Linked DNA regions of Canis lupus familiaris. The protein of the gene in region 2 interacts with the protein of the main gene of each other region in a pairwise test. Links are inferred from orthologs where the notes say so. Each region holds a gene or a part of one and is shown on either strand. Other genes may lie near its edges.

What was found.
Region 1: the proteins of EPN2 (region 2) and WBP2 interact in binary tests that used the Homo sapiens proteins (3 or more experiments, as listed by UniProt). The link is inferred for Canis lupus familiaris from reciprocal best matches to the Homo sapiens genes EPN2 and WBP2.

What each region holds. Positions count from the first base shown.
Region 1 is NC_049230.1:5,622,718-5,627,309, forward strand, and holds the start of WBP2 (WW domain-binding protein 2), read left to right. Parts: upstream 1-1,527; 5' UTR 1,528-1,534; coding exon 1,535-1,593; intron 1,594-1,634; exon of another isoform or gene 1,635-1,675; intron 1,676-1,819; exon of another isoform or gene 1,820-1,951; intron 1,952-4,465; coding exon 4,466-4,574; intron 4,575-4,592. UniProt on the Homo sapiens protein: Acts as a transcriptional coactivator of estrogen and progesterone receptors (ESR1 and PGR) upon hormone activation. In presence of estrogen, binds to ESR1-responsive promoters. Synergizes with YAP1 to enhance PGR activity.
Region 2 is NC_049226.1:41,168,033-41,172,320, reverse strand, and holds the start of EPN2 (epsin-2), read left to right. Parts: upstream 1-1,346; 5' UTR 1,347-1,481; intron 1,482-4,288. UniProt on the Homo sapiens protein: Plays a role in the formation of clathrin-coated invaginations and endocytosis.

The DNA.
Region 1 (4,592 bases), on a different chromosome or scaffold from region 2:
ATACAAATTTAAAAAATAAATAAATAAAAAATTTTAAAAAAAGCTGCATAGACTTCGCGAGCCAAAATTAATTTAACTACTGGAGCAGATCACGTCCATCGTGCAGTAATTTATTGCACTCGTCCTGCAAGGCCCCACCTGCTTGTGCTTAAGACTTCCCAGAAGGCTGTTACATGTTTCATCTTTTCTGGGTGTTGATCCCTCACCTAGGAAACTCTAAAAGATAAGTCAGGCAGGTGGGTCCCCAGGTTGGCCATCACATGTCAGGGAATCAGCTGTACTGCTTAAACTCAAACTTCCGATCCTTTAAGATTAATGATGCACCAGCACCACCACGTGGGGAGTGACACCCTTCTTTCCTCCCCTGGAAGATCCACCTCAGGGTCTCCTGGGTGGTTCAGTGGCTGAGCATGTGCCTTTGGCTCAGGTCTTGATCCCGGGGTCCTGGGATCGAGTCCTGTATCAGGCTCCCCGCAGGGAACCTGCCTGTCTCTCTCTGTCTCTCATGAATAAATAAAAAAATAAAAATAATAAAAAAAGAACTACCTCGGACGTGGAGATACATAATTACTACAGCTGCCCAAGGGCGCCGCCCAGTGCTGGGGCCCAAGCTGAAATGACTCAGCTGTATTTCATAAACCACATAATGGGGCTGCCGGACTTGCCTTGTCCGGGCTCCTAGGTCCTTTCAATGACTGTGAGTCTTGTTGAAATCTTACAGCTGGAAAGCTCCCGGGCGGGCCTGACCGAAGCCAGATCGTTCTAGAGGGAGCAGGGCCACCGCGAGGCCTGCGGGGCTGAAGGTAGAGGCGCTCCCCACCGGACCCTGGTATTTGGTGCAGGGGTCAGGTCGGGCCACCGGACAGTCTCACCCCCAACCTCCGAGGGTCCGGGTCTGACTTCACGACAGGGATGCTCTGGCAGCCCGCCCCGTCCTGGACCCGGGTCTTGCGCTCATCTACACGGCTACAGTGACCACCCGGATCAGGGGCAAAGTCATGTAGACTCAGTGTTTCACAAATAAAGATGCCCTAGCAAGTGACTGCTCAGCATTCCCCACACCCGGTTTAGATTCCCACCGCCGCCCCCTCATTCTGTGAGTATTCACTTTTGTGCTCAAGGCCTTTCCGAGTAATACCCCTGTGACGTGTCCAACTGTTTATTCCGGTCCCTTGGAAGATACGAAGGGCTGTGCGTAATGCGCAGGCCGATTAGTTATGCAACTGGGGCAGTCAATCCGGCCTGGAAGACTACAAGTTCCAGAGTGCATCCTTCCGCTAACGTAGAGAAAAGCCGATTGAGGGAGCATGGCCTTCTGGGAATTGTAGTCTTCAGCTTGTTTGTGATGCAGGCGAAACGGGAGGGGGAGTGAGTAAACTATTACCACGTGACGCTCGAGATCAGGTGGTTGGACCAGGCTCCGCACAAGAGCTGTGATTGGCTGGCTCTAATACGAACGACGCCACTAGGGGCGGGCCGTGGAGGGGCGCAGGCGCACTGCGTTGAGAGTCTCGGGACCCTTTTCCGAGAGACTATGGCGCTCAACAAGAACCACTCGGAGGGCGGCGGAGTGATCGTCAACAACACCGAGAGGTGAAAACACGGCGGAAGGATCCTGGAAAAACGATGGGGGGGGGGGCGTGGGCGGTGGGCGGCCGGGGATGAACCGGTGAAGGTAAACCGACGGGGTGCGGGGGGGGGGTTAACGGCTGGAGGCGGGGCCGGAGGCCGAGGGTGGGTCGGCGGAGCGGCTGGGACGTCGCGGTTAGCTGTGGGCTGGCGCGGGGGGGCGGCGGCTGGGCAGACAGGTGGGCCCCGGGGTCGCTCTTGAGCCCCTTTCCCAGAGTCGATGACTTCACGGGGTGGGAAGAGCCTTAGACAAAAATAATTGCTACTTACTGAGTGTTTACTACGTTCCTACGCGCCAGGCTGTGCTCTTCTGCCTTAACGTGTAAGTGCGGCGCAGCGCTTAGATCATGCTGGTCTGCACGTTTTACATGCAGGGAAACTGAGGCACGGAGAGGTTAGGTGACTTGCCAGAGATCACAGGGCTGTATATGACACAGACGGGATTCCAGGAAAGGCGTCTTTAAAGTCAAAAGGCCGGCAGCCCCGCTGGCTCAGCGGTTTAGCGCCACCTTCAGCCCGGGGCGTGATCCTGGGGTCCGGGGATCGAGTCTCCCATCCAGCCTGCTTCTCCCTCTGCCTGTGTCTCTGCCTCTCTCTCTCTTTGTGTCTCTCATGAAAAATCTTAATTCTGTTTAAATAAAGTCAAAAGGCTTGACTACCAGTACATAGCCTTCTGGTATATTCCAGAACTGCCGAGTTTCCAGATGAGAGACTGAGGCCCAGAGGTGCAGTTAGATAGATAATGTTTGTCAAATGGCGAACACATTTCCTGGCACAATGTCTGTCCTTGCGTCTTTCTCTCCAGTGCCTGTTGACTTGGATCACTTCCCTGAGCAGAGGTCTCCCCGCCTCTCTCCATACCCCTCACCCCCTCCCTCACCTTCCCCCGCCCCCCGCCCGTCAGTTCTGTCCTCTTTGCTCTGGTCTCTGAACTTCTCTGTGGCTTCTCTCTTGCTCCTTGGGCACCGGGAATTAGACCATCCAGCCTCGGTTCAGCTAGGCTGACGCTGAAATTCTCTTTAAGGCGGGAGGTGCTTACGAGGAGTCTGAGTCCCTGGAAGAGACTTCAGTGGGATCAGAGCCTTGTAGGCTGCCAGGGCCAGCACCCAGGAATGCTTGATGAGTCAGGAGAAAGCCAGGGGTGCCCCGGGCTTCAGAGTGCTGACGTTCCCTCCATCGTCCCTGCTCAGGGTCTGCCAGCCCAGCCTGTTCCTGGTAATGAGCTGTTTTTCTCTGAGCTGTACCTCTTAACTATATTTGTTTTTAAGATTTATTTGTTTTAGGGACACCTGGGTGGCTCAGTCAGTTAAGCATCTGCATTGGGCTCAGGTCATGATCCAGGGTCCTGGGATCAAGGCCGGATCAGGTTCCCTGTTCAGCAGGGAGCCTGCTTCTCCTTCTCCCTCTCCCTCTGCCTGCTGCTCCACCTATTTATGGGCGCTCTCTCTGTCAAGGTTTATTTATTTTTTTTATTTTTATTTTTTAATTTTTATTTATTTATGATAGGCACACAGTGAGAGAGAGAGAGGCAGAGACACAGGCAGAGGGAGAAGCAGGCTCCATGCACCGGGAGCCTGACGTGGGATTCGATCCCGGGTCTCCAGGATCGCGCCCCGGGCCAAAGGCAGGCGCTAAACCGCTGCGCCACCCAGGGATCCCCGGTTTATTTATTTTAGAGAGAGTCCGTGCAAGCGCAGGGGGAGGATCAGACGGGGAGAGAAAGAGAGAAGCCACAAGCAGACTCAGGGCTGAGCTCAGAGTCCCATGAGAACCCTGAGATCATGACCTGAGCAGAGACTGAGGGTCCGCCACTTAACCAACTGAGCCACCTTGGTGCCCCTCTGAGCTGTACTTCTCTTCCCTGGTACCAGTCCTCTTTCCCACTTACCCTCCCCAGTGAAGAAAGTTGTGATATTTGGGAGGAGGAAGACAAATGGAACCATGTGAACTTGGACTCTGTTATCTTCTAATCAGAGAAACCTCACATTGTTCCCATTTTGTAGTCTCTCTTGAGTGCAAGCCAGTCCTAGGCCTGGAAAAACACTTCGATGCCATTTGGTAACATCTCCTGGGACTATTTTTCTTTCTTTCTCAGTGGGACTTTGTGGGACAAGAATGTATCTGTCCTGGTGGACCTCCTACCTGGCTTCGGGCTCTGTGCTGCTAAATAATGGTGTGCCTTGTTTTAGAAAATGTTTCCGCCTTGTTTCTGGAAAAAATTGTATGGCAGTTGAAGTTTAAATTAGCGTTTAAAATTTCATGTGTAAGATAGTCTTACTTTTCAAGTGATGAATCCCTTTGAGAGTGATGAAAGCCGCAGATTCTTCCAGAAAAACGCACGTACACCATCATTTCATGGACTCCCACCCATGTAGACCCAGTTCAGGAAGCCCCGGTTTAAAGAGGTGTGAAATGAGCCCTTTGGTAATGTGTAGAGTCCTGTCTTAGAGGGTTTATGGGTCAGTACTAATAAGCCAATGAAAACAGACACACATTATAGGGACTCAGAAGAAAATGGGAGAGTCAACCCAGGTAATCTAACCTGATTTGAGGGATTATGGTGTTAATGGCTTTAAAGCCCTCCGCCTCGGCTCTTCTGCTGTTGTCCCTTGAGAGGAGGGGGTATATGTGGGGCTTGGGGAAATTCTGAGGACCCCGCCTTGCTCATCTATTTCGAGGATGTATTAATAGTTTCCTTGCAGCAACGTCAAAACAACTTTGAGACACGACGTGCTAGACACCTGCGTATCTCAGGGATGGGGGGTCTAGTCCCTGGCGTAGGCAGGTCGTGGCTCCCAGCTGGCTCATCACGGCCTGTTCTCGTTTCTCATCACAGCATTCTGATGTCCTATGACCATGTGGAACTTACATTCAATGACATGAAGAACGTGCCCGAGGCCTTCAAAGGGACCAAGAAAGGCACCGTCTACCTTACTCCTTACCGGGTGAGTTGCACAGTGATG
Region 2 (4,288 bases):
TTATATTGGGCAGCATTGAATCTATGGGAAGCACTCCAGCCTGCACTGGGCACCCACAGCATGTTGGCATAATCCATCTAGAGTTACAAACTGAGGGCATGGGCCATGATTTCATGTAAAGCTCTGCTCTCCCAGAAAGCCCAGGAAGGCCCAGCAAAGATGAGTTTTCTTCATCCATTGGGCTTCTTCCTAGGGAGGAGAAATACAAAGCTCAGAGAAGTGCTGTGACTTGCCCAAGGTCTCTTATAAGTGAGGGCAGAATGGGACTCATGGACACAGCTTCCCTGAAACCAGAGCTAAGCATAATGCCCATGTCACCGGGGCTTCCTTGGATCCAGGCAACAGGGATGGTGCTGACTGCCAACCCAGCAAGCTGGGACCCATACTCCAGACTCTGCTGTGAGGGGTTTCTGCTGATCCCACCCTTTCTGGGGTAGGAACCTCTCCAAAGTCTGTCTCTTCAGCTTTGTCTTCTGTCTCCCTCTGAGCCTCACACAGAGCTTGGCACATTGCAGGAGCCTCATGGGCACCTGTTGAACCCAATGCAAGGGGTGGATCCTGTTGCTCTTGTGAGTGTCAGGCCCTGCGAAGGGGTGAGTCCATAAATTCCTCTTATGAGGATAACGGTGAGCCAAGGGCTTTACATTTTTCCTATATGGATCCCTTTGGCAGTCTAGCAAAGCTGATGCATCCCTTCTCAGAACCATTTTTGAGTTTTTTTGAAGTACGAACACATCTACACAAAAGTGCACACATCTATAGTGTACATCAGTGAATTTTCAACAAGTGAACACTACTCGTGACCCTGGCACTCAGCTCAAGACACCGAAAGTGACCAGCACCCCAGGAGCCCCTGGCCCCTGCCAGGCCCCAGCTCTGGAGGAGAGCCCCTATTGGAATAATGTTTCCAAGTGCATATTGCAAGGCGAGGGTAAGAACGGGGTTTCAGCGCTGATGGAGGGCTCTGCGTGCGCGCCTGAGGCTGGCGAGATGGAGTATGGGGTACGGGGGGGGGGGGATTTGTCGGGGAACGGGGTGTCTGAGTGAAAGTTGCCGAGTGCGTGGGTTCGGGTGTGTATTTGGTAGGGTTTGTGGGCGGTTGGAGGGTGGTCGTCAAGAGGCGTGTGCGGGGCTTGGGGGGACGCTCGAAGGACTCGGGCGCAGGTCGCGAGGCACCGCGGGGAAGCGGGGCGCTCTGAGTGGGGTCGTGGGTCTGTGGGGGGAGGTCGCGGGGGCGGGGCCTGGGGAGGGGCGGGGCCTCGGCGGGCTGGGGGCGGGGCCGGCGGGCGCGCGCACGCAGCCGGCGCGCCCCCTCCCGGCCGCCATGTTGGCTGGTGTGTGGGTGTCAAACGGAGCTAGACGCGGCGGCGGCGGCGGCGGCAGCGGCGGCTGCGGCGGCTCCGCGGGCTTCGGTCGCTCCCGCCTCCCCAGTGCCACCCGCGGCCGCAGCCGCGTACCCGGGCAGGCTCGGAGGAGCGGAGGTGAGCCGGGGCCCGCGAGCCTCGGGGGCGGGGGGGTGGGCGGGCGGGAGCGGGGCCCCCGGGCGCGGACCCTCCCCTCCCCGGGGCGCGGACGCCCTCCCTGCGCGGCTGCCCTCCGGCCAACCCCCCAGAGCCTGCCCGGGCTGGGTCCCCAGCTCAGGTGGGACCCTTTCCTTTCCAGCCAGGCTCCGCCCCACGGGTTGGAGCATGGCCCCCTCCCCATCTGGATCCCGCTTTCAGCCTCAAGGGAGCCCCCCCCCCCAATCTCCCTGTCGGGGAACTCTCCCTCTTACGTCCTCGGAGTCAGGGGCTCAGCTCCAGGAGCCTCTCCAGGCCCTCATCCTCCACCTTTCTGCGGGAACCACCCCGCCCCTCCTCCCCAGAGCACTTTCCTCCCCGGGTCGGGCCGGGCGCCCCCTTCCTCCCGAGCCGAGCCCGATCTCCCTCCCGGCCGCCCCCGTGCACAGCCCAGCCCCTGTTTCCTCCAGGAATCGGGGGAGGGGTCCTCGCTGTCCAGGATTGCGTCCGGTCGCCGCTCTCCTTCGGGCTGGAGCTGGGGGCCCCTTTCCCTCCCCGGGGACCAGGTTCTCCCTCCCCACCCCCGACCCCCACGGCACAGCGGGGACGGGGGCGGCAGAGCCTGGCTCCAGCTGCCTTTTGTTCCGCGTGGGATGCCAGAGACCCCGCCCGGCGGTCCCGTTCGGCTGATCCGGGTGGGTGAATGGGTGCGTGGGGGCCGGCCTCTTCAAGGAGACCCTTCCTCTCTCTGCCCGTGGGGCGGCTCCCCCAGAGCGGAGCGCGTTGGCAGAGGCTGGCCCTTCCTAGAGGAGTCCGTGCCAACAGGTTTTTGTTTGCGACCTGAAGTTGGCCCAGTGGCTTCGCGGGGAGGGGTTGGGGTGGGGAGTGGGGGCACCTTGCCCTCCCCAGAAACCCCTGCAGGGGCCTGTGAAAAGCCCATTCCTCCTCCCAGGGGCACGACAGCCTGGGGTCCCTTCACTGTTTTGTCCTGGGGACGCGTCTGAAATCTGTGCTTTACGAGAGGACCGGGCTTGACCATCATTGGGGTCCAGAGATGCAATGATTTGCCCAAGGTCATGCAGTGCTACTGTGTCACTGCCAGAACTAGAAGCTTGGTCTCCCGGGTGCTCTCTTCGCACATTTTAGAATTTTAAAAGCGATGTTCAGGATAACACCCCTTCCCCCCCTCTTATTTTTAACATTCACACAAGATAATGGGCAGGAAAAGATGTGAAGTATGAGTTCTTCTTTTCTGCCTCCTCCCAAAAAAGCCCTGTGAAAGGAGAGGTTGGAACAGGAGGTTAAAACGATTGAAAAAGGTGAATTTTAATTACCACTCTCCCAATTACGTAAGATAATGAAGATTTGGCAGAAAACATGTACATCTTGTAGCTCTAGATAGCAGATGATAGGTGCTGGCAAAATCATATACTGAATCCTGCACAACAGTGATTGAGTTTGCACTGATAATTAAGTTTTCATCTGTATTTAAATGAACATCAGAAGGGACTCTTTTTTTTTTCTGACTTGTTCTTGTTCCAGTTGATTGTATTTGGGATAAGTGATGGTGTTGGGGAAGCTACCAAGATCTGAACTTTTATCTGTCTGTATTTTTACTTTTGTATTTTTAAAGCTTAGTAGTTTCTTTAGTTTTAACATTGGGTTGGTCATGTTACCACTGGACTTTTCTTTTGTAAGCATTGAATGAAATACTGGCTAGTAAAGAGTTGGGTAAAGTGCAAATTATTGTCAGACGTGATTCAGAATTGTATCCCACAAGACCCTGGAGCAGGAGCAAGTTTGGATTGTCCTGTGGGATATATTGATCTCTCAAGGAGGCTTTTTGCCTCCTTGAACCTCCAGTTTGACAGATGAGGAGTTTGGTGGAGAACTGTCTCCCAGCAAGGTGCGTTTTGTCAAACACGGTGGCACATGTTTGGAAATGTAAAACTTTCAAGTGATGATACTTAGCATGGTATATGCAGCCTTGAAAATGACCCATCCCGGGGGTGCCTCAGTGGCCCGGTCAGGTTAAGCGTCTGCCTTTGGCTCAGGTCATGATCTCAGGGTCCTGGGCTCCCAGGGTCCTGTTTTTCGTTGCTCCTCAGGAAGCCTGCTTCTCCCTCTCCCTCTGCCTGCTTGTGCTGTCTCTGTCAAATAAATAAATAAAATCTTAAAAAGGAAAGAAAATAACCCAACCCATAAAAAAGCCCTTGGAAAAACACAGTTGATGCCTCTTAGGTAACTGGGCTTCCATGGTAAGGCGTGGCTTTCCTAAGTGTTGGGATTCTGATAAGAGTCCTGCAAAAAGTAGATGAAGAGTTTTTAGGACTTTGATTTGTTTCAGTGGCTTGCCTCTTCCTGAACTTAAAAGAGTGGGCTTTTTTTTTTTTAAATAAAGATTTCATTAGGTTGAGGGTAAACTTCAGTCTTTGGTGGGCTAAAGTGCCAAGAAATTTTCATGCATGGAGCTCTCTTTTCATACTCTTGGGAAGTGCAGTAAAGCTTTCGGGCATTTGTTCTTCCTATTCCCCAGAACCTTCCTGTTGGATTGATGGGCCATGGATGACTGTGGTGGTTGTCACTTGATGGCAGGAGTACCTGGTGACCCCGAGCCTTGCAGAAATAAAAGGGCTTGCATTGGGGGAACTTGAGGTTGGGGAGAGAAGGAATTTTGTAGATCTCCCCAGCCCCCCCATTTGTCTGCCAGACTTTCTGTTCGTGTGTTCCGTTTAAACAGACCTATTCTGTCAAGCCTTTGGCAGCCAATTTCAGCAGAGTCCCTCTCT